3 linked regions of the Pelodiscus sinensis genome follow. The protein of the gene in region 1 purifies or fractionates together with the protein of each later gene. This does not show direct contact. Links are inferred from orthologs where the notes say so. Each region holds a gene or a part of one and is shown in the gene's direction. Other genes may lie near its edges. The genes, in order: EXOC6B, EXOC3 and EXOC7.

Region 1 (9,562 bases):
TACTATTCACTGTTCTTTTCAGCTACAGACTCACAGCTACCCCTCTGCAACTGTTAGTTCTTCCTAAAAAATGATCGGTGTAGTAGCATTGCGCAAGAGGGTTTTTGTTGCGCAAGAAGGGGCAATGTAGACAGCTCCTTCTGGCGTAAGAGCCTCTTCTGCAAAATGGCGGCTCATTAGGTATGCAAATGAGGCTTGGCAATATTCCACGCTTTGCCTCATTTGCATATTTCTTGCGCAAGAAGCCGCGAGTGTAGACATAGCCTCTATGTTTTGAGCTAAGAAGATAGGTAGCATTAGTAGTCACATAACTTTTGCAGACTAGCCACTGGATGAGATCACAGAATAGGAATTGCCTCCATGTCTTTCTGAATTCTCTATTTACCATATCGTGAAGGTATGCAGCTCCAGGCTTTGGGGTTCCTAAATTTGCCAACTATTTTTATCTTTCATTATATCACTTCCGTGTCTATTTGCTTCTGGTCCTCGGGGAGCAAATATCACATCTCCATGGTGACTGCCAGTGGAGTACAGATTTCCTCTCTGGTTTTAACATATCCAGAATGACATCCATCTGGTCCCTTAAGACACCACATTTGGCAACTGTAAATGCGATCTAAAACAACTATTGCACTAACACAATCTAACTTTGTTTTGGGAGCTTCCCCTGCCGTTTCCTCTGCCAATACATTCAGGATACATGTAGTGATTTGGACACTTCTTCTATCACCTTTTCATTTAATTGGGTGATATTCTAAGTCAAAGCTATATCCAGATCAGCAGCATTCAACCTTTTAGCAGTCAAAGAAGGGGACTAGAAGAGTCGTTCTTGTTTATTTATAGCTTAAAACTTGAAACAACCACCTTTGATTAAAAAACAAGCAATAGTGTACATAAACTGTCAGTGTTTCTCAACCTTTTTTTTATAAAGTACCCCTTTAAAAAATTATATGTACCCCCAGTACCTACAGTTTTCAGACACACAATTTTTTTCTACCATTGCAACACATTTGTTTAAACAATTTAATCGTAGCCAGGCAGGCAATGAAATTTTTGGGTGTAAAAAGTACAAAAATAATAAAGCACTGTAAAACTTAAAACAAAAATTCAGTTTTCTCCAAATTTCGGTTGTGTTGAGGTACCCCCCAGCCTTCTCTTGAGTACCCCTAAGGATACTCGTACCACTGGTTGAGAAACACTGGTCTAAGTAATCTGTTCCTACCACAGTTCCTGCCATCTTTCTCGCATTCCATTTGTTTGTTCCACCCATTTGCAGTTTGTTTAAATTATAAACTCTTTGGAGACAGGGACCAGCTCTTTCTACGTGTTATACAACACCCAATGCTGCCATACAAGTAATGGAAGAACCTGAGCAGAACTGTGAGGATAATAAATAATGACAACAAGAGCAATAACATAGAACATAACATAAGAACATAAGAACGGCCGTACTGGGTCAGACCAAAGGTCCATCTAGCCCAGTATCTTGTCTGCCGACAGTGGCCGGCACCAGGTACCCCAGAGAGGGTGGACAGAAGACAATGATCAAGCGATTTGTCTCCTGCCATCCCTCTCCAGCCTCTGACAAACAGAGGCCAAAGACACACTTTTATCCCCTGCCTAATAGCCTTTTATGGACCTAGCCTCCATGAAATTATCTAGTTTCTCTTTAAACTCTATTATAGTCCTAGCCTTCACAGCTTCCTCTGGCAAGGAGTTCCACAGGTTGACTACACGCTGTGTGAAGAACTTTCTTTTATTAGTTTTAAACCTGCTACCCATTAATTTCATTTGGTGTCCTCTAGTTCTTCTATTATGGGAACTAATAAATAACTTTTCTTTATCGGCCTTCTCCACACCACTCCTGATTTTATAGACCTCTATCATATCCCCCCCTCAGTCTCCTCTTTTCTAAACTGAAAAGTCCCAGTGAGCCACTTAGTTATCAGAGAGAAATGCTGAGAACCAAAACGACAAGACCTTTGTGACAGAGATGCTGATTATAGAACCCAGAGGCCATCTGGTAAGATGCTTCCCTGGTGTTCTTGGCCAAATGGCCCTTCCTTAGTACTATTGAGATGCTGCTGCTCTTCACCTCAAAAGGGACTGTCTTCTGGTTGGGTTTGTAATTATATATATGGTGAAGCATTTGGGGATAGTTCAAGACTGAAAGGCAGTTTGAAGCCAATGCGTTGTTTTCATATTGGGGGAACACCACATGAGTCAGACCTACTGCCAGAGCCCTTTACTGGGATGGACTCAGGGGCCAAGTTAGACTGAATGAAGTCTCTCCCCCCAATTAAAGCACTTCTGTCTGGGATCTCTGCCCCATACAGAGGCAGCGGGGGAAATTCTGACAGTTGGAGGCTCCCGGTGAGAGGCAGTGAGAACAGGTCCCGTGGCGTGGTGTGATGTGTGTTTCCTCCCCACAGTTACCGAGAGTGGACTGATTGGAATGTGTACAACTTCCTTCACGGAGGGCCACTGGGGTGTAGGGTGCCCATCCATCACCTTATTTTAAGGGGCTAGTCCTTATTTTGTTGATGTCTTCCTTTTAAGGGACATCTCTTGATTTGATTTTAAGGGATATCCCTTGATCATTTTAAACATTACATCGAAGCTTATGAATCCCTGAGGGGGTAACCGTGTTAATCTAAATTTGCAAAAACAGCGAGGAGCCCTGTGGCACCTTAAAGACTAAGGCTATGTTTACACTGGCAAGTTATTCCGGAAAATCAGCCATTTTTCCAGAATAACTTGCCAGCTGTCTACACTGGCCCCTTGAATTTCCGGAAAAGCACTGACGATCTAATGTAAAATCGTCAGTGTTTTTCCGGAAAAACTATGTTGCTCCCGTTCAGGCAAAAGTCCTTTTCTGGAAAACTGTTCCGGAAAGGGCCAGTGTAGACAGCCCAGATTTCTTTTCCGCAAAAAAAGCCCCGATCGCAAAAATGGCGATTGGGGCTTTTTTGTGGAAAAGCGCGTCTACATTGGCACGGACGCTTTTCCGGAAAAGCATCCTGCCAATGTAGACGCACTTTTTCCGAAAATGCTTATAACGGAAAAGTTTTCCGTTTTAAGCATTTCCGGAAAAGGGTGCCAGTGTAGACGTAGCCTAACAGTTTTATTTTGGGCATAAGCTTTCATGGGTAAAAAACAGTTTGTTTTGCCCACAAAAGCTTATGCCCAAACAAATCTGTTATTCTTCAAGGTGCCACAGGACTCCTTTTTATTGAAGCTTACAATAATTGAACTGTATTCGTGAAGGCAGTAGAAAAGTACATTTGAGAGAAAAATACATGCTGTGCTGAGAGAAATGGCGGTTCCTTCAAGTGTCCAGTAAAATTAAGTACTGTTCTTTATTTTTCATGTGATTTTCCGCTATTTCTATCCAGCAAAGGTGAACACCCTCTTGGGGCAGGTCTGATGGTAATCTCCCCCAAGGAGGGGCACCCGATTAGATCTGACGGGGTGGGGGGTTCTTCAATGTGGGGGCCTGGGAGCAGGTTTCATAGGCATGAGGTCCTCCAATAAGGGGCTCTGGGGCAAGTTGAGAGGTTTTGGGGTTGCCTCCAATGAGGGGCCCTGGGAGCAGGTCTGATGGGGCGAGGGGTAAGTCCAATTAGGATTCTAGGGCAGGTCTGACAGGGATGGGGAGTCCCCAATGAAGGATGCTGGGAGCAGGTCGGACATGAGTGGGGGTTCCCAGTGAGGGGCTCTGAGATGGGATCAGGCTCCCCCAGTGACAAGCCCTGGGGGCAGGACTGATGGGGTGGAGGGACTCCCCATGAGAAGCACTGAGAGCAGATCTGACAGGGGTAGAGGGTGCTCGATGGGGGGCGCTGGGGCAAGTTTGATAGGTTGGGGGGTGCCCCCAATGAGGGGCGGGTCTGACAGGCGGGGCCCCCAATGAGGGGCGTGGGGGCGGATCCGGCAGGCGGCCCCAAATGAGGGGCACCGGGGCGGGTCTGACAGGCGGGGCCCCCCCAATGAGGGGGCGGGGCGGGTCTGACAGGCGGGGCCCCCCCCAATGAGGGGCTAGGGCGGGTCTGACAGGCGGGGCCCCCCCAATGAGGGCGCGGGGCGGGTCTGACAGGCGGGGCCCCCCCCCAATGAGGGGGCGGGGCGGGTCCCCAATGAGGGGGCGGGGCGGGTCTGACAGGCGGGCCCCCCCCAATGAGGGGGCGGGGCGGGTCTGGCAGGCGGGGCCCCCCCAATGAGGGCGCGGGGCGGGTCTGACAGGCGGGCCCCCCCCCCCCAATGAGGGGGCGGGGCGGGTCTGACAGGCGGGCCCCCCCCAATGAGGGGGCGGGGCGGGTCTGACAGGCGGTGCCCCCCCAATGAGGGCGCGGGGCGGGTCTGACAGGCGGGGCCCCCCCAATGAGGGCGCGGGGCGGGTCTGACAGGCGGGGCCCCCCCCCCAATGAGGGGGCGGGGCGGGTCCCCAATGAGGGGGCGGGGCGGGTCTGACAGGCGGGCCCCCCCCAATGAGGGGGCGGGGCGGGTCTGGCAGGCGGGGCCCCCCCAATGAGGGCGCGGGGCGGGTCTGACAGGCGGGCCCCCCCCCCCCCCCAATGAGGGGGCGGGGCGGGTCTGACAGGCGGGCCCCCCCCAATGAGGGGGCGGGGCGGGTCTGACAGGCGGGGGCCCCCCCCAATGAGGGGGCGGGGCGGGTCTGACAGGCGGGGGCCCCCCCCAATGAGGGGGCGGGGCGGGTCTGACAGGCGGGGGCCCCCCCCAATGAGGGGGCGGGGCGGGTCTGACAGGCGGGCCCCCCCCAATGAGGGGGCGGGGCGGTCTGACAGGCGGGGCCCCCCCAATGAGGGCGCGGGGCGGGTCTGACAGGCGGGGGCCCCCCCCAATGAGGGGGCGGGGCGGGTCTGACAGGCGGGGGCCCCCCCCAATGAGGGGGCGGGGCGGGTCTGACAGGCGGGCCCCCCCCCAATGAGGGGGCGGGGCGGTCTGACAGGCGGGGCCCCCAATGAGGGGGCGGGGCGGGTCTGACAGGCGGGGCCCCCCCAATGAGGGGGCGGGGCGGGTCTGACAGGCGGGGCCCCCCCAATGAGGGCGCGGGGCGGGTCTGACAGGCGGGGGCCCCCCCCAATGAGGGGGCGGGGCGGGTCTGACAGGCGGGGGGGGCCCCCAATGAGGGGGTGGGGCGGGTCTGACAGGCGGGGGGGGCCCCCAAAGAGGGGGCGGGGCGGGTCTGACAGGCGGGGGGGGCCCCCCAATGAGGGGGCGGGGCGGGTCTGACAGGCGGGGGCCCCCCAATGAGGGGGCGGGGCGGGTCTGACAGGCGGGGGGGGCCCCCAAAGAGGGGGCGGGGCGGGTCTGACAGGCGGGGCCCCCAATGAGGGGGTGGGGCGGGTCTGACAGGCGGGGGCCCCCCCCAATGAGGGGGCGGGGCGGGTCTGGCAGGCGGGGGCCCCCCCAATGAGGGGGCGGGGCGGTCTGGCGGCGGCCCCAGTGGAGGAGCGGGTGTAGGCGGGGCAGTGCGGCGCGGGGGCCGGACTCCATTTCCCGGCGTGCCGGGCGGCAGGGGGCGGGCGCGGCGCGGGGGTGCGGCGGCCGGGCCGGGGCTGAGGGGAGCGTGCGGGTGGCAGCGTCCCAGCCGGGCCCGCAGCCCATGGAGCGGGGGAAGATGGCGGAGCTCGAGAGCCTGGAGACGGCGGCGGAGCACGAGCGGATCCTGCGCGAGATCGAGAGCACGGACACGGCCTGCATCGGGCCCACGCTCAGGTACCGCCCGCCCGGCGGAGCCCCCGGATAGAGACTCCTTACCCCCCCCGGGCAGGGACCCCCTGAGCCCCCCCCGGATAGAGACTCCTTACCCCCCCGGGCAGGGACCCCTGAGCCCCCCCCGGATAGAGACTCCTTCCCCCCCGGGCAGGGACCCCTGAGCCCCCCCGGATAGAGACTCCTTACCCCCCCCGGGCAGGGACCCCTGAGCCCCCCCGGATAGAGACTCCTTACCCCCCCGGGCAGGGACCCCCTAGAGCCCCCCCCCGGATAGAGACTCCTTACCCCCCCGGGCAGGGACCCGCTAGAGCCCCCCCCGGATAGAGACTCCTTACCCCCCCGGGCAGGGACCCCCTAGAGCCCCCCCGGATAGAGACTCCTTACCCCCCCGGGCAGGGACCCCCTAGAGCCCCCCGGATAGAGACTCCTTACCCCCCCGGGCAGGGACCCCTGAGCCCCCCCGGATAGAGACTCCTTACCCCCCCGGGCAGGGACCCCTGAGCCCCCCCGGATAGAGACTCCTTACCCCCCCGGGCAGGGACCCCTGAGCCCCCCCGGATAGAGACTCCTTACCCCCCCGGGCAGGGACCCCCTAGAGCCCCCCCCGGATAGAGACTCCTTACCCCCCCGGGCAGGGACCCCCTAGAGCCCCCCGGATAGAGACTCCTTCCCCCCCCGGGCAGGGACCCCTGAGCCCCCCCCGGATAGAGACCCCTTCCCCCCCCGGGCAGGGACCCCTTACCCCCCCGGATAGAGACTCCTTCCCCCCCCGGGCAGGGACCCCCTGAGCCCCCCCCGGATAGAGACTCCTTACCCCCCCGGGCAGGGACCCCTTACCCCCCCCGGATAGAGACTCCTTACCCCCCCCGGGCAGGGACCCCTGAGCCCCCCCCCGGATAGAGACTCCTTACCCCCCCGGGCAGGGACCCCTTACCCCCCCGGATAGAGACTCCTTACCCCCCCGGGCAGGGACCCCCTAGAGCCCCCCCGGATAGAGACTCCTTCCCCCCCCGGGCAGGGACCCCTGAGCCCCCCCCGGATAGAGACTCCTTCCCCCCCCGGGCAGGGACCCCTGAGCCCCCCCCGGATAGAGACTCCTTACCCCCCCGGGCAGGGACCCTCTAGAGCCCCCCCCGGATAGAGACTCCTTACCCCCCCGGGCAGGGACCCTCTAGAGCCCCCCCCGGATAGAGACTCCTTACCCCCCCGGGCAGGGACCCTCTAGAGCCCCCCCCGGATAGAGACTCCTTCCCCCCCCGGGCAGGGACCCCCTGAGCCCCCCCGGGTAGAGACTCCTTACCCCCCCGGGCAGGGACCCCCTGAGCCCCCCCCGGATAGAGACTCCTTCCCCCCCCGGCAGGGACCCCCTGAGCCCCCCCCGGATAGAGACTCCTTAACCCCCCGGGCAGGGACCCCCTGAGCCCCCCCCGGATAGAGACTCCCTACCCCCCCCGGGCAGGGACCCCCTGAGCCCCCCCGGATAGAGACTCCTTCCCCCCCGGCAGGGACCCCCTGAGCCCCCCCCGGATAGAGACTCCTTAACCCCCCGGGCAGGGACCCCCTGAGCCCCCCCCGGATAGAGACTCCTTAACCCCCCGGGCAGGGACCCCCTGAGCCCCCCCCGGATAGAGACTCCTTACCCCCCCGGGCAGGGACCCCCGAGCCCCCCCCGGATAGAGACTCCTTACCCCCCCGGGCAGGGACCCCCTGAGCCCCCCCGGATAGAGACTCCTTACCCCCCCGGGCAGGGACCCCCTGAGCCCCCCCCGGATAGAGACTCCTTAACCCCCCCGGCAGGGACCCCCTGAGCCCCCCCCGGATAGAGACTCCTTAACCCCCCCGGCAGGGACCCCCTGAGCCCCCCCCGGATAGAGACTCCTTACCCCCCCGGGCAGGGACCCCCTGAGCCCCCCCCGGATAGAGACTCCTTAACCCCCCGGGCAGGGACCCCCTGAGCCCCCCCCGGATAGAGACTCCTTCCCCCCCCGGCAGGGACCCCCTAGAGCCCCCCCCGGATAGAGACTCCTTACCCCCCCCGGGCAGGGACCCCCTGAGCCCCCCCGGATAGAGACTCCTTAACCCCCCGGGCAGGGACCCCCTGAGCCCCCCCGGATAGAGACTCCTTACCCCCCCCCGGGCAGGGACCCCCTGAGCCCCCCCGGATAGAGACTCCTTCCCCCCCGGCAGGGACCCCCTGAGCCCCCCCGGATAGAGACTCCTTAACCCCCCGGGCAGGGACCCCCTGAGCCCCCCCGGATAGAGACTCCTTAACCCCCCGGGCAGGGACCCCCTGAGCCCCCCCGGATAGAGACTCCTTACCCCCCCCCGGGCAGGGACCCCCTGAGCCCCCCCGGATAGAGACTCCTTCCCCCCCGGCAGGGACCCCCTGAGCCCCCCCGGATAGAGACTCCTTCCCCCCCGGCAGGGACCCCCTGAGCCCCCCCGGATAGAGACTCCTTCCCCCCCGGCAGGGACCCCCTGAGCCCCCCCGGATAGAGACTCCTTAACCCCCCCGGGCAGGGACCCCCTGAGCCCCCCCGGATAGAGACTCCTTCCCCCCCGGCAGGGACCCCCTGAGCCCCCCCCGGATAGAGACTCCTTAACCCCCCGGGCAGGGACCCCCTGAGCCCCCCCCGGATAGAGACTCCTTACCCCCCCGGGCAGGGACCCCCTGAGCCCCCCCCGGATAGAGACTCCTTAACCCCCCCGGCAGGGACCCCCTGAGCCCCCCCCGGATAGAGACTCCTTACCCCCCCCGGGCAGGGACCCCCTGAGCCCCCCCGGATAGAGACTCCTTACCCCCCCGGGCAGGGACCCCCTAGAGCCCCCCCCGGATAGAGACTCCTTACCCCCCCGGGCAGGGACCCCTGAGCCCCCCCGGATAGAGACTCCTTACCCCCCCGGGCAGGGACCCCCTGAGCCCCCCCGGATAGAGACTCCTTACCCCCCCCGGGCAGGGACCACCCTGAGCCCCCCCGGATAGAGACTCCTTCCCCCCCGGCAGGGACCCCTGAGCCCCCCCGGATAGAGACTCCTTCCCCCCCCGGCAGGGACCCCCTGAGCCCCCCCCGGATAGAGACTCCTTAACCCCCCGGGCAGGGACCCCCTGAGCCCCCCCCGGATAGAGACTCCTTACCCCCCCGGGCAGGGACCCCTGAGCCCCCGCGGATAGAGACTCCTTACCCCCCAGGGCAGGGACCCCCTGAGCCCCCCCGGATAGAGACTCCTTACCCCCCCGGGCAGGGACCCCCTGAGCCCCCCCCGGATAGAGACTCCTTACCCCCCCGGGCAGGGACCCCCTGAGCCCCCCCCGGATAGAGACTCCTTACCCCCCCGGGCAGGGACCCCCTGAGCCCCCCCCGGATAGAGACTCCTTACCCCCCCGGGCAGGGACCCCCCTGAGCCCCCCCCGGATAGAGACTCCTTACCCCCCCGGGCAGGGACCCCCTGAGCCCCCCCCGGATAGAGACTCCTTCCCCCCCCGGCAGGGACCCCCTAGAGCCCCCCCCGGATAGAGACTCCTTACCCCCCCCGGGCAGGGACCCCCTGAGCCCCCCCGATAGAGACTCCTTACCCCCCCCGGGCAGGGACCCCCTAGAGCCCCCCCGGATAGAGACTCCTTCCCCCCCCGGCAGGGACCCCCTGAGCCCCCCCGGATAGAGACTCCTTAACCCCCCGGGCAGGGACCCCCTAGAGCCCCCCCGGATAGAGACTCCTTACCCCCCCGGGCAGGGACCCCCTAGAGCAGCCCCCCCGGATAGAGACTCCTTACCCCCCCGGGCAGGGACCCCCTAGAGCCCCCCCCCCGGATAGAGACTCCTTA
Region 2 (9,626 bases), on another chromosome or scaffold:
GACAAATCGCTTGATCATTGTCTTTGGTCCACCCTCTCTGGGGCACCTGGTGCTGGCAACTGTCAGCAGACAGGATACTGGGCTAGATGGACCTTTGGTCTGACTCAGTATGGCCATTCTTATGTTCTTATGTTCTAAGTCCTGTGGCACCTTATAGACTAACAGATTTATTGGCGTATAAGCTTTCGTGGGCAAAGACCCACTTCATCAGATGCACTTGTAATCTCATTACAAGTGAGATTAACACATGCAGTAATTTACAAGCATATCATCTAAACACTTTATATACTTTTATAATACTAATTGAGCAAAACTAATCTGCAGGTAACCTAGTCTGGTCTCCAGCTATTAGTTTGTTAGTTCTTAGCTAGTATCTGAGGCTTGGGCAAGAGCTAGCACCTAGTTTGTCAGCATCAGAGTTTGAGGTTATATAAGTCTGAGCATTCCATGGTGAATTTACATGGGTTCACGTCTCACCCCTGAAAATGTCAGGGAAGCACTGAGCAATGCCTCTGCTACTGACAGCAGTCACAGAAACTGTTGACCTCTGGCTGGTGCCTCTGCCACTGCTGCTGCAGTCTCTGCATTGTCTTTCACTGCAACAAACTGCCCTATGTAATTTGAGCCCTGGCTTCTGGAAGCATAAGCCCGGAAAATAGCCATTTTAAAAAGAGATTCTAGGTAGCTTTCCCTCCTAAATCTCTCCCCCCCCCCCCCCCCCCCCAGCTAGAATCTTAGGACTGGAAGGGACTTCAAGAGATTGTCTAGTCCACCCCTCTGTACTCATATACATCGTATTATTGATGTGATGCAAGAGAAAATGGTCCAAGTATATTGAGTTTTACCCAAGCTAGTGCATGGCACACAGTAATTCTTTGGGGGACCCAAACTGAGAACAGTATTTAAGAAAATGTACATTTTTACACTGCCCATGCACAAAAGTACAGAAAAATAGCTAAAGAGTTTCCATCCCTGACATTTTATGCACTTTAAACTCAACTCTTTAAGTGCTCTAAAATCCAAACAGATACTCAAATTTGCTTTTAAATTTGATATCCTTAATGGAAGCACAAGGCCATCAAATTTGGGGTCATCTGACCAAGGGGTTCTAATTTAGGACATCCCCCAAAAACATTTCTCTTCTTCTGCCTTGTACTGTTAAACTGAGATTAATGACTGGATGAATCACAGACCTCTTCATGACTGTGAACTCACCCTTCAATTAACATAAGTAAGGATAAGTTCTCCATAAACCCTCACCTAAAACATAAGGATTATTGAACTTAGTGGCTGGAGGTTGCTTTAGTTTGTGAGTCCTTGTGTGGTGTGATTTCATTTTGGGGAAAACACAAGAGCTTGGCTACGTCTACACTGGCAGCTTCTTGCACAAGAACTCTTTTGCAGAAGAGTTCTTGTGCAAAAACTCTTCCACAAGAGAGCGTCTACCCTGGCATGTGCTTTTGTGCAAGAGATGTGCAAAGAGATGCGCAAGAGATCCAGGGAACTGACAAGTATAAAAATGGGGTGCTCTTGCCATGGAACTTTGGGTTCTGTCCTGCCTTGGCACTTCGGATCATGACCAACAGAACCCAGCTCCTCACTCATGTTCAATCTAACTGGCCACTAGATTGATTTGAGTTACCACAGACTAGTAACTAGTATCATCTGCTAGACCTGTGTGTGTGGATGCATATGCTACTTTTCCTGTTGTATTGTCAATATATGTGGCATATTGTCTTCCCCCTGAAAAAGATCCTGTGTGCTTCTAATAAGCACAACACAGTATTTGTGAAGGAGCTTGGATGCAGTAGGAGGTTTTTACCTGGGGCAAGATGTTGGGAGTGTGGAAGGGAGTAGGGTATCAGATACAGGCTCTGGCCAGGAATCGAAAGTGTTTACTGGAGACAGAGCCAGGCGGCAGCCCATCAGGATGCTTGGATAGGCTCCCTTCCTTCTGCGGTCCCACACACTATTCAAAGTGGCTGGCTGCTGGGGTCAGTGTGTGTCTCTGGGCAGTGCGCCCCTTGGGAGAAGGGGCTAGCAGGTCTCCATGTGCTGCATGTACCTGCAAGCACTGAGCCTGCAGCTTTCATTGGCTGATTTCTGGCTAATGGGCGCTACGAGGATTGTGCTGGAGGTGGGGGCAGCACACAGAATCCTCTCCGCAAGCAGCATGCACCACACAGAGATACACATGCTTGCCCCAGCAACCGGATGCTTTGAGCAGTGTATGGGACCACAGAAGACAGGGTAGCATCAGGCTGCATTCAAATATTTGGCAGGCTGGATCTGTACAGGCTGTATTTTGCCCATCCCTGCTCTAGCCTTAGGTCTACAATGGCAAAGACATTTTTCCTGTAATGGTAGCTCTGGGCTGGGTGGAGCCAGCCATCAAAAGCAGGGAATGTCCAGTGCTTCTCCTTGTTTTCTCAATGACTCATCTGCTGCAGAGGTAGATTTAAATGAAACATACCGTACCCTGGCATGCCCCCTCCCAATGACACAGAGCCCCCCTGGGCTGGGCAGTCCAGTACCGGATCCAACACCCCCCCACACAGGGGGTGGCCACTCTGCAGGGAAGTGGGGGCCAGTCCCTCTGCAGAAAGGGCTGGGTGGGGGGGAGAGCAAGAGAGCAGGGAGGCCCACCTGCAGACTGCAGCCTCAGGTGAGCTGTCAGAAGGTAGTGAGCAGTGCAAACATGATCTGGAAGGCTTCAGAAGAGCCACACAGCCGGCCAGAGAAAAGCGGTGCTTTGAAGCGGGAAAGCGCTGCTTCTCTTTGGCCGCCAGCTGTGCATCTACCCAGTGATCTCTAACGCCTTCCAGCCTGTGTTTGTGCTGCTGGATGCCACCTGGTGAGTGGTGGCTGCCCGCAGGCAAGGGGGAGAGTGGCCAGGGGATAGAGAGCCCAGGACGGGGAGAGGGGCAGCACTCAGATGACTGATAGCACTATGCCTCCCTCACCTTTAGGTAAAGCACATGTGGGTCTCTGCCCACTTCTTCAGGCCAGCCAATGCAGGGCCACTGGGGCACCTGAAGGTGTCCTCTGCAGCCACAGAGATTTTTTTTTTTTAAATAAAGCACTCTTATCCAAAGCACTTTGCAGTAATTAGCGAATGGTACAAACAATATTTGGAAAGATCATTAAGTGGTCCACCCGAGACCTTCAGCAAATTTCAAATGGTCTGTGGAAAAAAAAGTTAGACTACAAAAACAATCAAGGCGCCTCACTTTATTTTCATTTACTTCTTATTACTTATAATATAGAAGGAGGGGGGCAAAAAGGAAGCTGAGCACTGGGCCTCACTAACTCTAAATCTGCCACTGATCAGCTGGCAAGTAGGGAATGAGGAGGAGGGAGCTGCCTGATTCAAAGAAGGGACAAAAGTTGAACTAGAGGGAGGGAAAGGAGTAGACTAGTAGACTAGGCTAAGGAGTCTGGTGGAACTGGGTCTGGTGTGGAAGGGGGCAGAAACCGTCTGCAGTGTTGCCAACACTCATTATTTTGTCATGAGTCTCATAATAATTATTGTTTGCCTTAAAGCCCCAGCTCGTACAGTCAAACAAAGATGCGATGTTTTCAGCCTTTATTCTCAAAGGAAAAATGAGTGTCTAGCCCTTATGGTTGTGGAGAAATTTTCAAAGTATGATCCCCATGCACCCTAAAGGCTCAAAAAGCAAATGAAAACCCATTTTTACATAATCTCATGATTTCTGAACATTTCCAGTTTTCTGGAGTTCAGCAGAAAAGGACCTGGGGATTACGGTGGGTGAGAAGCTGGATATGAGTCAACAGTGTGCCCTGGTAGGCCAGAAGGCTAATGGCATATTAGGGTGCATTAGGAGGAGCATTTCCAGCAGATCTAGAGAAGTTATCATTCCCCTTTATTCAGCACTGGTAGGGCCACACCTGGGCTACGTCTAGACTGGCATGATATTCCGCAAATGCTTTTAACGGAAAAGTTTTCCATTAAAAGCATTTGCGGAAAAGAGTGTCTAGATTGGCACGGACGCTTTTCCGCAAAAGCACTTTTTGTGGAAACAAAATACAGGACTATGTAGCACTTTAAAGACTAACAAGATGGTTTATTAGATGATGAGCTTTCGTGGGCCAGACCCACTTCCTCAGATCAAATAGTGGAAGAAAATAGTCACAGCCATATATATACCAAAGGATACAATTAAAAAAAAATGAACACATATGAAAAGGACAAATCACATTTCAGAGCAGAAAGATTCTGTACCAATCTAGACGCGCTTTTGCGCAAAAAAACCCCGATCGCCATTTTCACGATCGGGGCTTTTTTGTGCAAAACAAATCTGAGCTGTCTACACTGGCCCTTTTGCGCAAAGGCTTTGCACAAAAGGGACTTTTGCCTGAACAGGAGCAGCATAGCATTTCCGCAAGAAGCACTGATTTCAGACAGTAGGAAGTCAGTGTTCTTGTGGAAATTCAAGCGGCCAGTGTAGACAGCTAGCAAGTTTTTCCGCAAAAGCAGCTGCTTTTGTGGAAAAACTTGCCAGTCTAGACACAGCCCTGGAGTATGGCATCCAGTTTTGGGCCCCCCACTATAGAAAGCATTGGAGAAGGTCCAGCGGAGGGTAACCAAAATGATTAAGGGGCTGGAGCACATAACCTATGAGGAAAGGCTCAACCATTTGGGCTTATTTAGTCTGCAGAGTGAGGGGGGATTTGGTAGCAGCCCTCAACTTCCTGAAGGGGGGTTCCAAAGAGGATGGAGAGAGGCTGTTCCTAGAAGTGAGGGATGGCAGAACAAGGAGCAATGGTCTCAGATTACAGTGGGGGAGGTCTAGGTTGGCTATTAGGAAAAACTATTTCACTGGGAGGGTGGTGAAGCACTGGAATGGGTTCCCTAGTGGAGTCTCCATCCCTAAAGATTTTTAAGTCCTGGCAAACGTGTCTTGCCCGGGAGCTGCGCGCACAGAGGCTGACAGCCCAGGGAAAAGCAGCTCCCAAGGACACGCTTTCGAATCCCGCCCCGCCACCAGGGGGTAGGGAAGGGCGAACGCCACGCCACGCCCCTCGCTCGGACACAGCATTGAAGACTATCAGCGCAGGCGCAATGGGGAATTGGGAAGGAAAGGACTGGCAGAGGATAATACGCATGCGCAGTATGAGAAGCGGGGAGGGAGGGAGAGCGAATTGGTTTCGCGCTTGCGCAGTGAGCCTGAGGTGCCGGGCGGTCGCTCTGCGATTCCGGCGTCCAGGGCGGCGCCTGCGCATTGCGCGCCTGTCAGTGACTTCCTGGGAGCTGGCAGCGCAGGTACGAAGTGGCGGCCTTCGAGGCCGGTGTCGCTCCGCCTGGTCCCCGCGGGGCGCCGGCTGCGGGCAGGACCGGGCTCTGGGAGCGCGGGGCCGAGCACTGCGGGAAGCCCTGGCCGAGGAGAGGTTGGGGCGGGGGCAGGTTGGCAGGGGCAGGTGGGATGGGGGGGGGTTGGTTTCTGCCCCCTTGCCACGACGCTCTGGCAGCTACTGCGCGGAGCAGCCGTTCCCGTCCCTGCGAGCGTGACCGTAACCCTGGGGGGGGGGGGGGCTGTGCCGGTCCTAGCTCATCTCGGGGCCTCTTTGTGCTGCTGGGGTGCGGGCACAGGGCGAGGGGCCAGATGGGCTGGGCCTGGGTGGGATCCTGTCGAGTTACCTTCCGGGGTCCTTGCGTTATTACTGATGGGGCGGGGGGACCGGAGGGTCTGGTGTCAATTTGAGGATTCGCGGAGGCCAGTGCAGAAGAGAAGCCAGAGAACCTTTGAAGGACTCCCCATTGCTCACGGCCTACAGAATCGAAATATCAAACCTGTTCAATGTGGGGCGCTGTTTTAAATTTTGCCCTTTTACTTACTTCCCTGATGTGGCAGCTGTCCAGAAGCACCTGTGCATTAGGTAGGAGCCTCTTTTGAAGCACAGAAGGGAAGGGTGACCCTACCCAGTCTTTTTACTTTTCTTTCTTCTCTTTTTTTCTTAACTCTCATTACAGAATCCCAATGCTCCTTCATATTTTCCAGTTTTGTGATCTCCAACGCCTCTTTTCTCTGCCCCTTGAAAAATGTCAGCCTCATAATTCAGTTTGGACAAACTTGTTTTAAACAAGTATTTACAACTTATTAATTTAGATAGCTGTATTAGCTCCATTTTGAGCACTACACCGGTAAAATTTTTAAACAGAATATCAAGAAATCTGTGTTATGTTTCCCACAGTCCCTGAGGCCCTCAGTCCCTATCAAGCCTCTCTCTGGTAGTAGGTGCTGAGCAAACATATAGGAAGAAGTAATGCTTCCCTAATATGTTTATGGTATAAAAATTCAGAAAACAGAAAGGTAGTGTGATACTGTATCCAAGCAACATAATATTGATTGTATCTTTTTTAGTTCTATGTTTTATTTTAAATATAAATACTTTTAAACGGCTTGTCCCGTTTAGCAGGGAAAAAAACAGGTATTCTGGCAGCTGCATCAGTCTTTTATTCAAGAGGCTTGACTCTGGAGCTGGAGGTGCTCCATGTGGTTTTAAAGGGGCTTGCTGAGATGTCGTTTTGGACAGAAAGATGTCAGTGGCTGGAAATTCCCTACTGTTGTTCAAGTCCAATCAGAGAGAGAATTTCAGTGTTAATTTTCATAGTCCAAGCTCTCACCTCACTAGGGTGCAGAGGATGATGGAGTAGTTGTGCCAGTGTCTGCTTCCAAGATTTCTCATGATTTCCAAACAACAGCTAAGTGAAATTGACATGGTTTTTGTTAGTTTGCTGCACCTATAGTATTATGTAGTATCAGTCTTGTTAATTTCACTCTGTAGATGATTGGGAAAATCATGAAGAGCAACAAAGGCACCAGAGCTTGTTTGTCTACAAACTCAGAAAGATAACACATCATGGGTTAATGCTTTCATATTGAGAAGATTACCCTGACAGCTGTAAATCTGAAAACCTTATTTTTTAACTTAACGTTTAAGCTCCTTAGAAAATTAATAGCTTAGGCCTTCTTCCTTAGCACATAATAGGCCTTATTTGCAACTAATAAAAGAATTTTTCAAATGCTGTCAAATTATATAATTTGTTTATAAAGCCAGCACATCGATCGTATATACTTGATTGTTGTCTGTCCCAAGAGGAAATTGTCAACAATCAATGAAAACATCCTATACTAAATCCATGCTTAACATTAAGGTTGTAGGGACTGATGATCAGATTGAGATGAGTCTGGAAAGCCCCATTTATTAATATAATCTGTTTAACATAGGGGTTTAGAGACAGAGTGGTAGTTGACAAGACTGTTAAAGTCAAGAAATGCTTCCTTGAAGAGGAGTCTCACCAGTGCCTTTTCAAAGGGTTGGTGTACCCTCCTTTCACAATGGAAAGTGTTAATGATCCTCACAGAAGATAGCTCCAAACCTCCCACATTGGTCTATACAGCCACCATTGCCAAAGATCCAGCTTTATGAATTTGCCACTGAAATAATTTGCTTTTATTAATAATGCAGAAACAAATTCGATGGTGTATTGTCATGCAATTTATACATTAGGTGTTGGTCTTTGGATGATTTGAGAATTTATTAGGCATTATAGGGAATCACTAAACTGCATCTGAGAGCGAATTTCTCAGGCCAGGTCCAGAGACTTATGATAATAGGGGTGGTGCTGTAGTGCTAAAAATAGCTGTGTAGCCATTTCTTTGATGTTGCAGCTCCAGCTGGAACTGGGCTGGGAGATTCACTCTCAGATGCAATGCAGACGTTTTTAGTGACGGTATGAGAGTATATACTTGTCTGGTTTTATTTTTCTGTGTTTAAATAAACACCTTCAAAAATGTTAAACTTGACATATATCCTTCAAATCAGTACTACATATCTGCTTAAAATGTTCTGAAATAACAAAATGCTTAAAGGGTTGGAGAAGTATATTGAGCAAATGTGGTTTCCTCCCTTTAATATCAGAAGGATATACTGAGGTTTTTCCTGGAATAGATATGTCTTAGAATATGGGGAGGGGAAGTGGATAAGAAACAAGAGGATCTAAGATACTAATAATAATACAGAGAAAAACTGATAGGATGGAGTTAAGACTGCTAGGTAGTACTTAATCCTCCCATGAGTGCAGGGGACTAGACTAGATGACATCTTGAGGTCCCTTCCATCCTATGATTCTACATCAGTAATTTAGGGTAAAATACAATACAGGGATATTGTAATTCTATTAAAAAATTAGAATGTCAAGAAACTCACATTTAAGATTAAACTTAAAAGAAATTCAAAGATGTTAAAATATGTAAATGCAGTTTGGGTTCTCAAACAATCTTAACTTTATCCTATAGCAATAGAATAGAATAACTGTATGATTATTTAAAATATTTGTGTTGCTGATTAAACTTATTTTTAAAAGACACACTGATCTTTTTCCTCTTTCCTCCTCCCTAGTAATGTCATGATAAATCCTACCAAAAATTGCTCTGTCAAAATGGCTGCCATCTTCTATTATTGCCAGGGGGCCACAGGTTACCCTTCGTGGAGATGCTCTCTTTCAAATTAGGTTTTTCCTCCTATGTTCTCAATAGAAGTGAAGCCAGCCTACTCAGAAGATGGTAGCCTCTGATACTGTTAGGAGGTAGAGAGCAACCCTGTGAGTTGCTGGTGAATGGTGTCATTGGCATTCTTTGTTTGCTGCTAGTAAGATGCTAGTTTGCTGCTAGTAAGCATTTTGCAAAGTACCTTTTTGGTGGCATTATCTGAAGAAGATTATTGTTCACTAAGTCTGATGCATAAACTTTCTTTCTGAAGGACGAAGGCAAACATGATCTTAAAACTTCAAATGTATTCTCAGTGCAAGATTTCAGAGCGTTTTAAAAACCTGGGAAATTTGAAGAATCTGTGTTAATCCATTATTAAGATAATTTATATCAAGGTCATTTGGGATTAGAAATGTCAGGGTACTAAATCCCTTTACAGTACCCATGTTTTAAATTAATTCTAATTCATACTAATTAAAGGGTTTACCTGTAAATTATTAGAATATTCATTCTATACTCAGTGGCTACATCTAGACTGGCATGATTTTCCGCAGATGCTTTTAACGGAAAAGTTTTTCCGTTAAACACATTTGCGGAAAAAAGTATCTAGATTGGCACGGACGCTTTTCCGCAAAAGCACTTTTTGTGGAAAAGCGTCCGTGCCAATCTAGATGCGGTTTTGCGCAAGAAAGCCCCGATCGCCATTTTCGCCATCAGGGCTTTTTTGCGCAAAATGGTTCTCAGTTGTCTACACTGGTCCTCTTGCGCAAAAGCTTTTGCACAAGAGGGCTTTTTCCCGAAAGGGAGCAGCATTGTATTTGCGCAAGAACACTGACAATCATACACTAGATCGTCAGTGTTCTTGCGCAAATTCAAGTGGCCAGTGTAGACAGCTGGCAAGTTTTTCCGTAAAAGCAACTGCTTTTGCGGAAAAACTTGCCAGTCTAGACACAGCCAAATAGTAAATGGTGTAGTTTTTAATATGCTGTCTCTTTGGTATACAAAGAACCCCAAACCCTGCTTTAAGTGCGAAATTCAATAATACCGGAACTGTGGAGGCTCAGCCAGCACTTTCATAATTCAAGAAATGGGTGTGTATAATATTTTACAACA
Region 3 (10,011 bases), on another chromosome or scaffold:
ACTGAGTAGTAAAAGGAGGAAAGCTGGTGCTTGGGGACACCTGGCGGATGTGCTGCATTTCACATGTTCTGGGAATTCATTGCATGTTGCGGATCTTTTGTCTCACTGAAATTACTCTTCTCCTTGTCACAGCAACAGTATTCGATGTATGATTTTTTTGTGTGGCTTTCCTTTTGGAAGGCTCAGCAGGAATCAAGAACTGGTGGCTGCTACAGGCTATGAGTACTTTTGGGGGATGCCCTCTACCTGTCTTTATATGTGTACTCTCTCTAGGTACTTTTATAGCTCTCCTCAGTGTCCAAATGCCTCTGTATCCGCACCATGCAAGGCACTTGGAGAAGAAAATTATCAAGAGAAGGTGGGAGTGCTGATATGAATTTCAGAATGTCTAGAGACTTACTCTCATCTCCACTGGCAGGAAGCACAGGCTGTGTCTAGACTGGCAAGTTTTTCCTCAAAAGCAGCTGCTTTTGCGGAAAAACTTGCCAGCTGTCTACACTGGCCGCTTGAATTTCCACAAGAACACTGACTTCCTACTTTCTGAAAACAGTGCTTCTTGTGGAAATACTACACTGCTCCCGTTCGGGCAAAAGTCCTTTTGCACAAAAGGGCTGGTGTAGACAGCTCAGATTTGTTTTGCGCAAAAAAGCCCTGATCGCGAAAATGATGATCAGGGCTTTTTTGCGCAAAAGCACGTCTAGATTGGCATGGACGCTTTTCTGCAAAAAGTGCTTTTGCGGAAAAGCATCTGTGCCAATCTAGACGCTCTTTTCCACAAATGCTTTAACAGAAAACTTTTCCGTTAAAAGCATTTGCGGAAAATCATGCCAGTCTAGACGTAGACACATTGCGTAGCTCCCATTAATGCTAACTGGTATGGCACTGTTGGCCTCCACGGCAGTAGCCAAACACTAAGGCAGGGTTTGGGAACCTCAAGCTTGTAGCCCCCACCTTGCCTGGATCTAGCCCCTGAAGCTCAGCCACCTCCCCCCAGCATTGGGGAGTTCGCAGTGGCACTCCAGCCCCCCACCGTCCCATCACGGGGCTGGAGCACACAAAATCTACTAGGCTAGCCCTAGGCTCTGGTGTGCAAGGGGAATGTGGGGAGTATCTTTCTCCTAAGTTGGGGACCATGTCAGTGAGGGTTGGGGGGGGGGCTTTCCTTCTCACTTGTGGCCCAACTGATTTTTCTGTGAGTCAGTGGCCCCAGAAAAGGTCCAGAAAAGGTTCCCCAGCCCTACATTAATGGGAAGCCCCTGAGCCCTGGTCTTTAGCTACCCATTTTGTAACTGCAATGCCAAAGGCAAACTCACATATGATATCAATAATACTGGTTTGCACTTCAGTGGCACTCTCCAGCTACAGATTCTGAGAATTAGAGGATTAATGAATCTTTGTGACATGTCTGCAAGGGTGGTGGTATAATACCCATTTTTGCAATAAGGTAAACTGAAGAGCAAAGCAACAGGTTGAGTAAATAGAGCCAAAAGTGGATCAAGTGACTGCTCCCGATCAGTAGCCAAACTATAACAAGCAACCAGGAGCCCTAGCTCAGAGGCGGCAACCCCGACTAAAACTACTAGTCAACATTCCCCCTTCTTACACTCAGCTGGTATTTTAAAAGGGAAGTGTAGGCTCCCTTTACTAAAGGAGCCTCTAATTTTTACTGGGGGGATCCTTTGTGCTGCAGTCTAGCCCTAGAGACAACAACTCCTATGAGCCCTTGGGGAAAAGGAGGGAAAACTGTTGCTCTCTTGTAGGCAGTGCAGAAAGAGAGTTGGTGGGCTCCAATTTGGAAAGAGGAGCCAGACTGCTGCTGTGGAACCTTTTTCTAGTCCAGGAGCTGCTGCTCAAAGCTAGAGCCTGCTGCTGAAAGCCTGTTGGCTTGGATCTAGCAGGCCAGCAGTTCCTAGCCACTGGTGCAAGGACCAGTGCCTGTATATGGCCCCACCTTTCAACCAACCAGCAGGAGTGGGGGGGTCTCCTCCCAGACACAGAAGAGCAATTCGCTACGTGGCGGAAGAGCTGCACAGAGCCTTGCACAGCAGCCTTACAGCAGCTGTGACCTGGGCAGCAGCACTCAGCTTGTGGTTAAGAGGCACCTCAGGGCTAGGTGGGGGGAGGTGAGGCAGGCACTGAGGGCTCCCGGGGTGGGGCTAGTGCTGGGGGGCTCTAAAAAGTGGGAGGCTGGCACTGGGAGGGCTCTAGGGATGGGGCTAATATTGGGGACTGGCACTGGCGGAGGTCTGGGGGGATTGGGTGCAGTGGGGTTCTGGAAACAGGAAGTTGGCACTGGGGGGTCTGGTGGTGGTGGGCTCTAAGGGATGGGGCTGGCAATGAGGCTTTTGGGACGATGGATTGGCACTGCTGGGCTCTGAGGATAGGAGGCTGGCACTGGGTGCAGGGAACTCAGGTCAGTGGCTGGCACTGGGGGGTAGTGGAAGAGTTGGGATTCTAGGGGTTAGGGCTGGTGCTGGAAGTCTCAGGGGGCCAGGGTGTACCCCAATCCCAGCACCACTATGAACAGCTGGCTTCAGCTGCAACAGCCACCTGCCATGGGCTATGCCCATGGCTCTGAAAAGCCTGCATAGAAGGTACTTTTAGTAACTGTGGCTGTTTGGGAAAGTGCTGGGGAAGGGGAGTCGGAGTCCCAGGGTCTGGGAGGGAGTTGTGACCTGGGGGGGAGGGATGCATATGGTTTGGATGGTGACCTGGGGAAGGGAAATGGGGTGCAGGAGGGGCTGGGGTGCCAGAGGCAGGCTCTGGCCAGGAGGAGCTTACCTAAGCATCTCCCAGCCTGCAGCACCCCAAGACAGGCTGGGCTCCCTGACTGCGGCAGCCCCAAACCACTTAAAACTGCAAGAGGTTCCCTTCATGTGGGACTCAGGTCTGGGAGGGGGGAGAGGCTTATGCTGCCTCCATCCCCCAGGGCAATCTCTCAGCTCACATTGGATGTTTGGTTTTGGCCAATAAGCGCAGAGAGATTGGCTGGGGTGAGTTCCTATTGGTCGGTTGTTTCCAGCCAATAGGAGCTGAGTATTGGGCTGGAGGCAGGGTGATCACCTGAAGCCTCCACCTCCCCCAGGAGTAGAGGCGTAGAGAGCAGCCCTGCTCTTAAAACAGTTGCTGCTGTATGCTAGAGGGTCCTAGCAGGGTGTCCATGGGCTGGACTGGGCGGCTTAGCCGGATCTGGGCTGCAAGAGGTATCTTGCCCACCCCTGCTTTAGAAGCAAGAGACTGCCACAAGCGGGTGGATAGCAAGGAGATCCCTATCTACCCAGCATCACCATAGGGACACTCAGGATCTCCTTTAATGTTAAAAACATCTGGTGCTCAGACACACAGGCGAGAGAGTGGTCTGCTCCTGAGTACTCCAGTGAGGAAAGGGAGGGTTACAGAAGATTGCCTGATCCTAAAATGTCTTAATAGTTACATGGCTGTCTCCCTGAACATAATAGAATGTAAATTGTGTAACACCGTGGTTCTCAGACTTTTTGGTCTGTGTCCCACCCTGCTCAAAACAAACCTTTTGTGGACCACCAGCAACCACCCATGATGACCAAATGGGAGCAGGAGTGGACTGGGAAGATGGGGAGGAGGGTCTGGCAGGGAAGTCGGATGCAGGAGAGGGGTGGAGGTCTGGCTGGAATTCCAGGAAATGAGAGTAGAATCATAGAACCATAGAGCTAAAAGAGACCTGAGAAGGTCCCCTGCCCACGTAGTGGGGAAAGTCTCTGAGGCTATGTCTACACTGGTGGGTTATTGCGCAAGAACAGCCGTTCTTCAGGAAAGCATCCACTGCCCACCTGCTCTTGCACAAGAAGATTTACGGTACAGTGTGGTAAGAGAGGGCTTCTTGTGCAAGAGCTATGCTCTTTTTTAACAGGTGTAAGCCCTCTTGCACAGGAGCTCTTGCACAGAGGGCAGTGTGGACGCTCGGCAGGGATTTCTTGCGCAAGAAAGCCCTATGGCTAAAATGGTCATCAGAGGTTTCTTGCGCAAGACAACATCCACATTGCCATGGATGCTCTTGCGCAAAAGCACAGCTCACACATGGCGGTGTGGACATTTTCTTGCGCGAGAGTTCTTGCACAAGAACCCGCCAGTGTAGACATAGCCCATGTGAGCAGTTTCCTGCGCTGCAGTTTCCCCAGCCAAGTGAGAGGGGGAGTGGCAGCATATGGAACCACTTCCTCCCCCTATGAGCTAGATCTGACCCACAAGGCTTAGGGCTCTCCCATCCTGCAGCGGGAAGCCAACCTTGCAGGGAGAAAGGGCTATACAAGGCTGGAGTGCCAGTGAGGACTCTCTGCTTGCAACTAGAGGGAGGGGAGAGAGAGAGGGCAAGCCCACAGCCCACCTGCAAAGGCAATCACAGACCACACTTTGAGAACCACTGGTGTAACAGATGAGGAAACAATCTGTTAAAAATGGGCAATGGTTTTTGGGATCCATGGAAGACCTTTTGAGACTGATTGATTGCTCTCCTAATATACAGTAAGGGTTTGGAAATGTGGAAGGAGGACACTGAGTTGACAAAAAACACATACTTGTATATTTCTCCCAAGAAATACCAGACATCTGGTATTTTTTGGTGGAACAAAAAAAAAAAAAAAAAAAAAAAAAAAGGGACGCGGTATTTTTTTTTTGTAAAGTAGGACAAGAAGGACAATTTTTTTCAAAGGAGGACAAAAGGAGGACATAATTATTGTGGAGGACAAGCCCCTCAAAAGGAGGACTATCCTTCTCAAAGGAAGACGTCTGGTCACTTTAGGGGAAGTGGGAATTAGGTTACCTGGCTGGGAAACCCTTGACAGCTAGAAACATAGTGTAAAGCAGAATATTTCCCCACCATGCCCCCCCCCATAAAATTAGCACATCACTGACTACACTGCACAAGGTATGTGCAAGTCAGCGATCCCCACAGCCAATCACTGTTGGCAGAGGGATGAGGCCCAGGGAGTGTAACAGCAAGTGTGCTGTATTTAACTCATGCCTGCAATTCCCTCCCCAGGCACTACCGATACACCTCCCCTGCCCCCCACCAATCCAGTAGTGAACATGACAAGAGCGCGCTCCAGTGGACACGCCCAATATGGCGGTCTATGAACATCGTTCCAAGGGCCTGCCACTCTTTATATGGCGCGCATTGGAGACGCGCAAGCGTACTTCTGCTCGCAAGCCGAGCCCTAAAGTCTTGGATCTGCGCATGAGTACTGGTTCCAAGATGGTGGTGTGTGGCGGGGCGCAGGCGCATAGCCATCTGCCGCGCTCAACATGGCGGCTCGGCGCTGACGGCGGCGGGCGTGAGGCGGAAGTGGGGAGACTGACTGACAGTGGCGGGCACGGCCGGGCTGTGGGTGTTTGGCAGGCCGGTGCCCCTTGGCTGTGCCCAGCGGTTCCGCGGCAGGATGATCCCTCCGGATGAGGCCTCTGCCCGCAGGCGGGAGATAGAGGACAAGCTCAAGCAGGTAGCGGGGGGCGCTGCGCTGGGCCCGGGGAGACCCCGACACCCCCACATCGTTGCCTGCTCCACCCCCGCCCCCAGGACAGCGCCGCCCCTGTACAGCCCCTTAAAAGACTCCCTCCCTCACAGCTCCAGCATCCCCCCCCGGACAGCTCACCCCACTGCTGCTCCCCCACCTGCCCTAGGGAGACCCTCCCTGCTACCCACCCACACTGTAGGGCCCTCACTCCCTAGGCAGGGACACTGCCTCTAGTGAGAGGCCTTTCCCTGCAGTGCAGTCTGGGATCCGCCTTCCCTAAACCGCTCCATTTCCCCTGGAATTGGCCCCCAGAACGTTCCCACGATTTGGGGCTCAGGGGAGCCTCCTTGGAACCAGATTCCTGCCTGGACAGCTCCACTCCTCTGGAACTGAGCCTGCTAGGCAGACCTCCCTGGAACTGAGACCTCCTTGCTCCCCCTGAACCAGACCGTACAGCTCTGCTCCTGTGACATGCCCCCTCCAGAGAAAGACCCCCTGAGTCCTCCCCCATGCCCTTTCCCCAACTGGGGCCTAACCTGTAGATGACATCTACAGAATGACTCCAGCACTCCATAGGCTCCTGGAATTCTTCCCTTGCAAAGAGAAGACCATTTCTTGAGAGCTTTTGCATAATTTCCCATAATTTCTCCACCCCATAATATCATCCATATCCCATCATTTTAAAAATAGAACATTTACTTCTGAAATAAATCAAACACAAGAGAAAAAGAACATTCATGTCCATTTTGGTATACACACAGCAACCATGGGTCTCACAAGTCAGTATTTGTGAAGCTGTGGTTTTTCTTACTGACCTCTGGTGTGGAATGGCACAGGTAGGGATATGGCCCCTGAAGTCACATGGAATGATCAGATCTGGGGATAGGAATGTTAACATGTAACCTTAATTGGTGTTGCTTACTGGGTAATAGTTAATCGATACCCAGGGAGCAGCCCCCTGGCCCAACTCAATGCTGCTCTAGCACCACCGGGATCCCATGCAGGGCTGGAAGCTGCCAGGCTGGAGCAACTCTTGACTACGGCAGGGGCGCTACTTCAGCCCAGCCGGAAAGTGGCATTTATTACTTTGTCATAATAGGGCACTTACATCGGTGGAAGACAAGTTTGAGTGTAGTCAGATACACAGCTAGGTCAATGAAAGGTGACTCGCATTGTCCTAAATTTGTAGTGTAGTCCAGAGGCAAGACAGATTTAAATTGAATTGAGAGTGTTTGCTACACTGGGTTAATTGATTTTAAACAAATTAAACCTTTAGTTAAACTGGTGCTACTTTGTATGTAGATTATTAGTTGATTCTCACCTGCTAACATTGTTTTGTTGTGTTTAAATTCATAACACTAGAGAACAGTGTTTAAATCCAGATGCCTCTGTATTGAAATTTAAAAACAGGTATATCATTTTAATGTTTCTGTTCTAATTAAAAGTGTACGTGTTTTTAAACTCCTTCTCAATTATTTGATATTTCCTTTAATAGAACTTAGAAATGCAGTTTTCTTTCAATCTTGTGTAAAGTTTGAAATTCACCTGTCATATAAAACTGATAAATTCTTCTTTATTCCAATGTCAGGAAGAAGAAACACTGTCCTTTATAAGAGAGAGCCTTGAAAAAAGTGATCAGCTCACAAAAAACATGGTAAGCAGGGTCCCGTAAACTAAGTTTAAAAAGGTAGGATATGGTTTGCTTGGTCTCTGATTCTGGTGCTTTCTCTCCTGAGAGTTTCTTTGAAAGCTCTGATTTGCCAACTTGGGAAACTTATGAGTTCACTGGGTACTGTTTTTAGATTAGAATCTTGAGGATAGGTTATAAAGTGTGTTGGGGTGCAAGTTTGCCAGGACTGGAAACTTGAGTTCAAATGATCCTTCAATCTGGTTTAATTTATGTGCATTTATAGCATTGCTCATCTCAGTATTTCAGTACCTCCTGAGTATATGACAGTAGAAATAAATCCACTCCAGCCAGGGGGTAAAATAGCTAATATTAATTGTTCTGTGTGTCAGGGCACAGGGGTGAAGAGCTTTGGGAAAGCCAAGTAGAAGAGTAATTTCTGAATACAATTTACTTGGTGATCTTTCTGAACTCATCTGGTAGTGAATTCAGTAACCTGGATCTGAAGGATCTATTGTTGGTTGACAGTTTTGTATTGCCTGTGTATTGCCATGATCCACCACATCCGAACAGAAGCATAGAATTGGATTTGGTATTAATTAGGGAGTCCATTCCCAAGGAGAAGTGTGGCATTGATGTGCTCATGGGCACTTGTGTTGTGTAACAGGTGGGCTGCTGGATGCTCTGCCTAATGGATTCCCTCACCCCACCTCACCACTTCTTATTCTTACTTTTGAGTTTTAGTAACTGAGTCTCAGTCACTGTAGCTGGATCTGAATCTGACTGGATGGAATTGTGTACTTTTTGTTATTGTTGCAAGGAGACTAAAGTGACCTCTAGCATTGCAAATCTCTGCCCAGGAGCTGAGAGAGCATGTGGAACTCAGACAAGACAGAGATGATCTTGCTGGAGAGAAGGAAGGGCTTGGACGAACTTTGTTCCTCCATATCATCCATTTTCTGCTGAGGCCACTTACCCTCTTAATTAAGTTAGTTGCAAACTTGGAGTTCCTTGACAACCAAATTAGGGATGTGAATGGATGATCAGTTAACCGGTAAGCATCACCCTTACTGGGTGATACTTATCAGACATTGTTAAATGGCAGGGGCTGGAGCAGCCCCTGTCCATGGCAGGAGGGAGGCGGCGATCCAGCCAATCTGCAAACACCAGCCTTTGTTTAATTGTTAACCAGTTATGTTTAACTAGATAAACTAATTAAACGGGATTGTACGTGCCTAAACCAAATGGTCATGGCAGAACAGGGCTATGAACATCAGTCAAATGACTTCTCCATCGTAAACTTCATTCACTCAGTACAATTGAGTAAAGCAGGCATTTTCAAACTTCATTGCAATGAATGACAATTTTTTTCATTAATTTTTTGTCAATTTTTATTTTTTCTGACTAAAATTATCACCACAGGAGAAGGGACCAAAGCCTGAGTCTTCCTGAGCCCCTCTACCCTGAGCTTGGGAAGTTGGGGGACTTGTAACCTGAGCTCCAACTTGCAGGGCTGAAGCTCTCAGGCTTCAGCTTGGGCTTTGGCCCCATGCACCGGAGCTCTGACTTTAACTTCAATCTCGGAACCCAGCATTAAAATGGGGTTGCAACCCATTTTGGGATCCCAACCTACAACCTGAGAACCCCTGGAGTAAAAACTCTGCTTCAGCCTTTCCCCTCACCTGAGATAGCTACAGTTTATCTCCCTTTGGATACTTCCCTAGCACCTGTTGTATGATGATTTGAGTGCTATACCAATGCTAAATATAATACTAATAAGTATATGGTGATGTTTAATATTACTTCCATTTACACATTGGAAAGCAGAAGCATAGGTGGGTTAAGGGATCTGCTCAAGCAGACAAGCAATTCAGTGGTAGAGCCAGGAGTAGAAGCTGGGAATCTGGATTTCTATTACCCTCTTAACCGCTAGCTCACAATACAGTTGTGTTTTATGTGGAAGGAAATTCTCCATGCTGTTTGATTCTTTTGGGGGTTTTAGGTTTCCATCCTCTCCTCCTTTGAGAGTCGTTTGATGAAGCTGGAGAACTCTATCATCCCTGTGCATAAGCAGACAGAGAATCTACAACGTCTGCAAGAAAATGTTGAGAAGACCTTGTCCTGTCTGGATCATGTCATTAGCTACTACCACGTGGCTAAGGATACAGAGAAGATCATAAAGGAAGGGTGGGTCAAGTAGCAGAACCCTGCTTTCTTCTGCTGAATCTCTTTGTACCGGGTCTGTTTTGAATCAGGGTAGTTGATTGGGCAGGTTTCACAAAAATCTTGTTATTCTTTGATTTTTTTTTTTTTTTAATATATGGGAGTGGGATTGGTAGGCTGCACAGGCCTGGCACTCCCTGGGGGTGGAGAGGGTTTTGCAGGCCTTTTACCGCTCTCTGGGCTTGCCCAGTGGGGGGGTGGGGAGTGGGCAGTGGCCAGAAGCTGCTCCCCGGAGCAGGCTGACGTGTTGGCTGCTGCCATCCAGAGGCTTCCCACTGAGATGCTTTGCTGTCGCCCTGTGGTCATTCTACGGTATAACTTTCTGCTACCAGACCCCTCTCTTTCCATTTTATGAGAAACAATCAAATTCCAGGCACATCCCATTGTCCTGGTACAACCAAATTCTAACCTTGCTTTAAGTTAAGATAAGAGAAAGCTGCATACCACATTTGGTTGTTCTTATAGTTTAGGGGGTGTTCTTGAACAAATGGACTCATGAACAGCCAGACAAACAGATGCACGTTGCTAAAATACATAGATGTGTCTGCCTCAAGGGAAACTCCGCTTGAACTTACAACATTACCTCTGAGGGTAGAATCCTGTTCTGGGGTGCTTTAACACATTCTGCACCTGATCCCTATGTGGAACACCTAGCGATTGTATTCATTCCTTTCT

The links.
Region 2: the proteins of EXOC6B (region 1) and EXOC3 purify together in Homo sapiens (affinity purification with mass spectrometry; 3 studies listed by BioGRID and IntAct, counting the BioPlex papers as one, with this or other methods). This does not show direct contact. The link is inferred for Pelodiscus sinensis from reciprocal best matches to the Homo sapiens genes EXOC6B and EXOC3.
Region 3: the proteins of EXOC6B (region 1) and EXOC7 purify together in Homo sapiens (affinity purification with mass spectrometry; 3 studies listed by BioGRID and IntAct, with this or other methods). This does not show direct contact. The link is inferred for Pelodiscus sinensis from reciprocal best matches to the Homo sapiens genes EXOC6B and EXOC7.

What each region holds. Positions count from the first base shown.
Region 1 is NC_134715.1:131,707,580-131,717,141, forward strand, and holds the start of EXOC6B (exocyst complex component 6B), read left to right. Parts: upstream 1-5,516; 5' UTR 5,517-5,626; coding exon 5,627-5,739; intron 5,740-9,562. UniProt on the Homo sapiens protein: Component of the exocyst complex involved in the docking of exocytic vesicles with fusion sites on the plasma membrane.
Region 2 is NC_134712.1:144,900,606-144,910,231, forward strand, and holds the start of EXOC3 (exocyst complex component 3), read left to right. Parts: upstream 1-5,163; 5' UTR 5,164-5,284; intron 5,285-5,875; exon of another isoform or gene 5,876-5,898; intron 5,899-9,626. UniProt on the Homo sapiens protein: Component of the exocyst complex involved in the docking of exocytic vesicles with fusion sites on the plasma membrane.
Region 3 is NC_134730.1:10,781,237-10,791,247, forward strand, and holds the start of EXOC7 (exocyst complex component 7), read left to right. Parts: upstream 1-5,282; 5' UTR 5,283-5,411; coding exon 5,412-5,471; intron 5,472-7,074; coding exon 7,075-7,140; intron 7,141-9,115; coding exon 9,116-9,300; intron 9,301-10,011. UniProt on the Homo sapiens protein: Component of the exocyst complex involved in the docking of exocytic vesicles with fusion sites on the plasma membrane.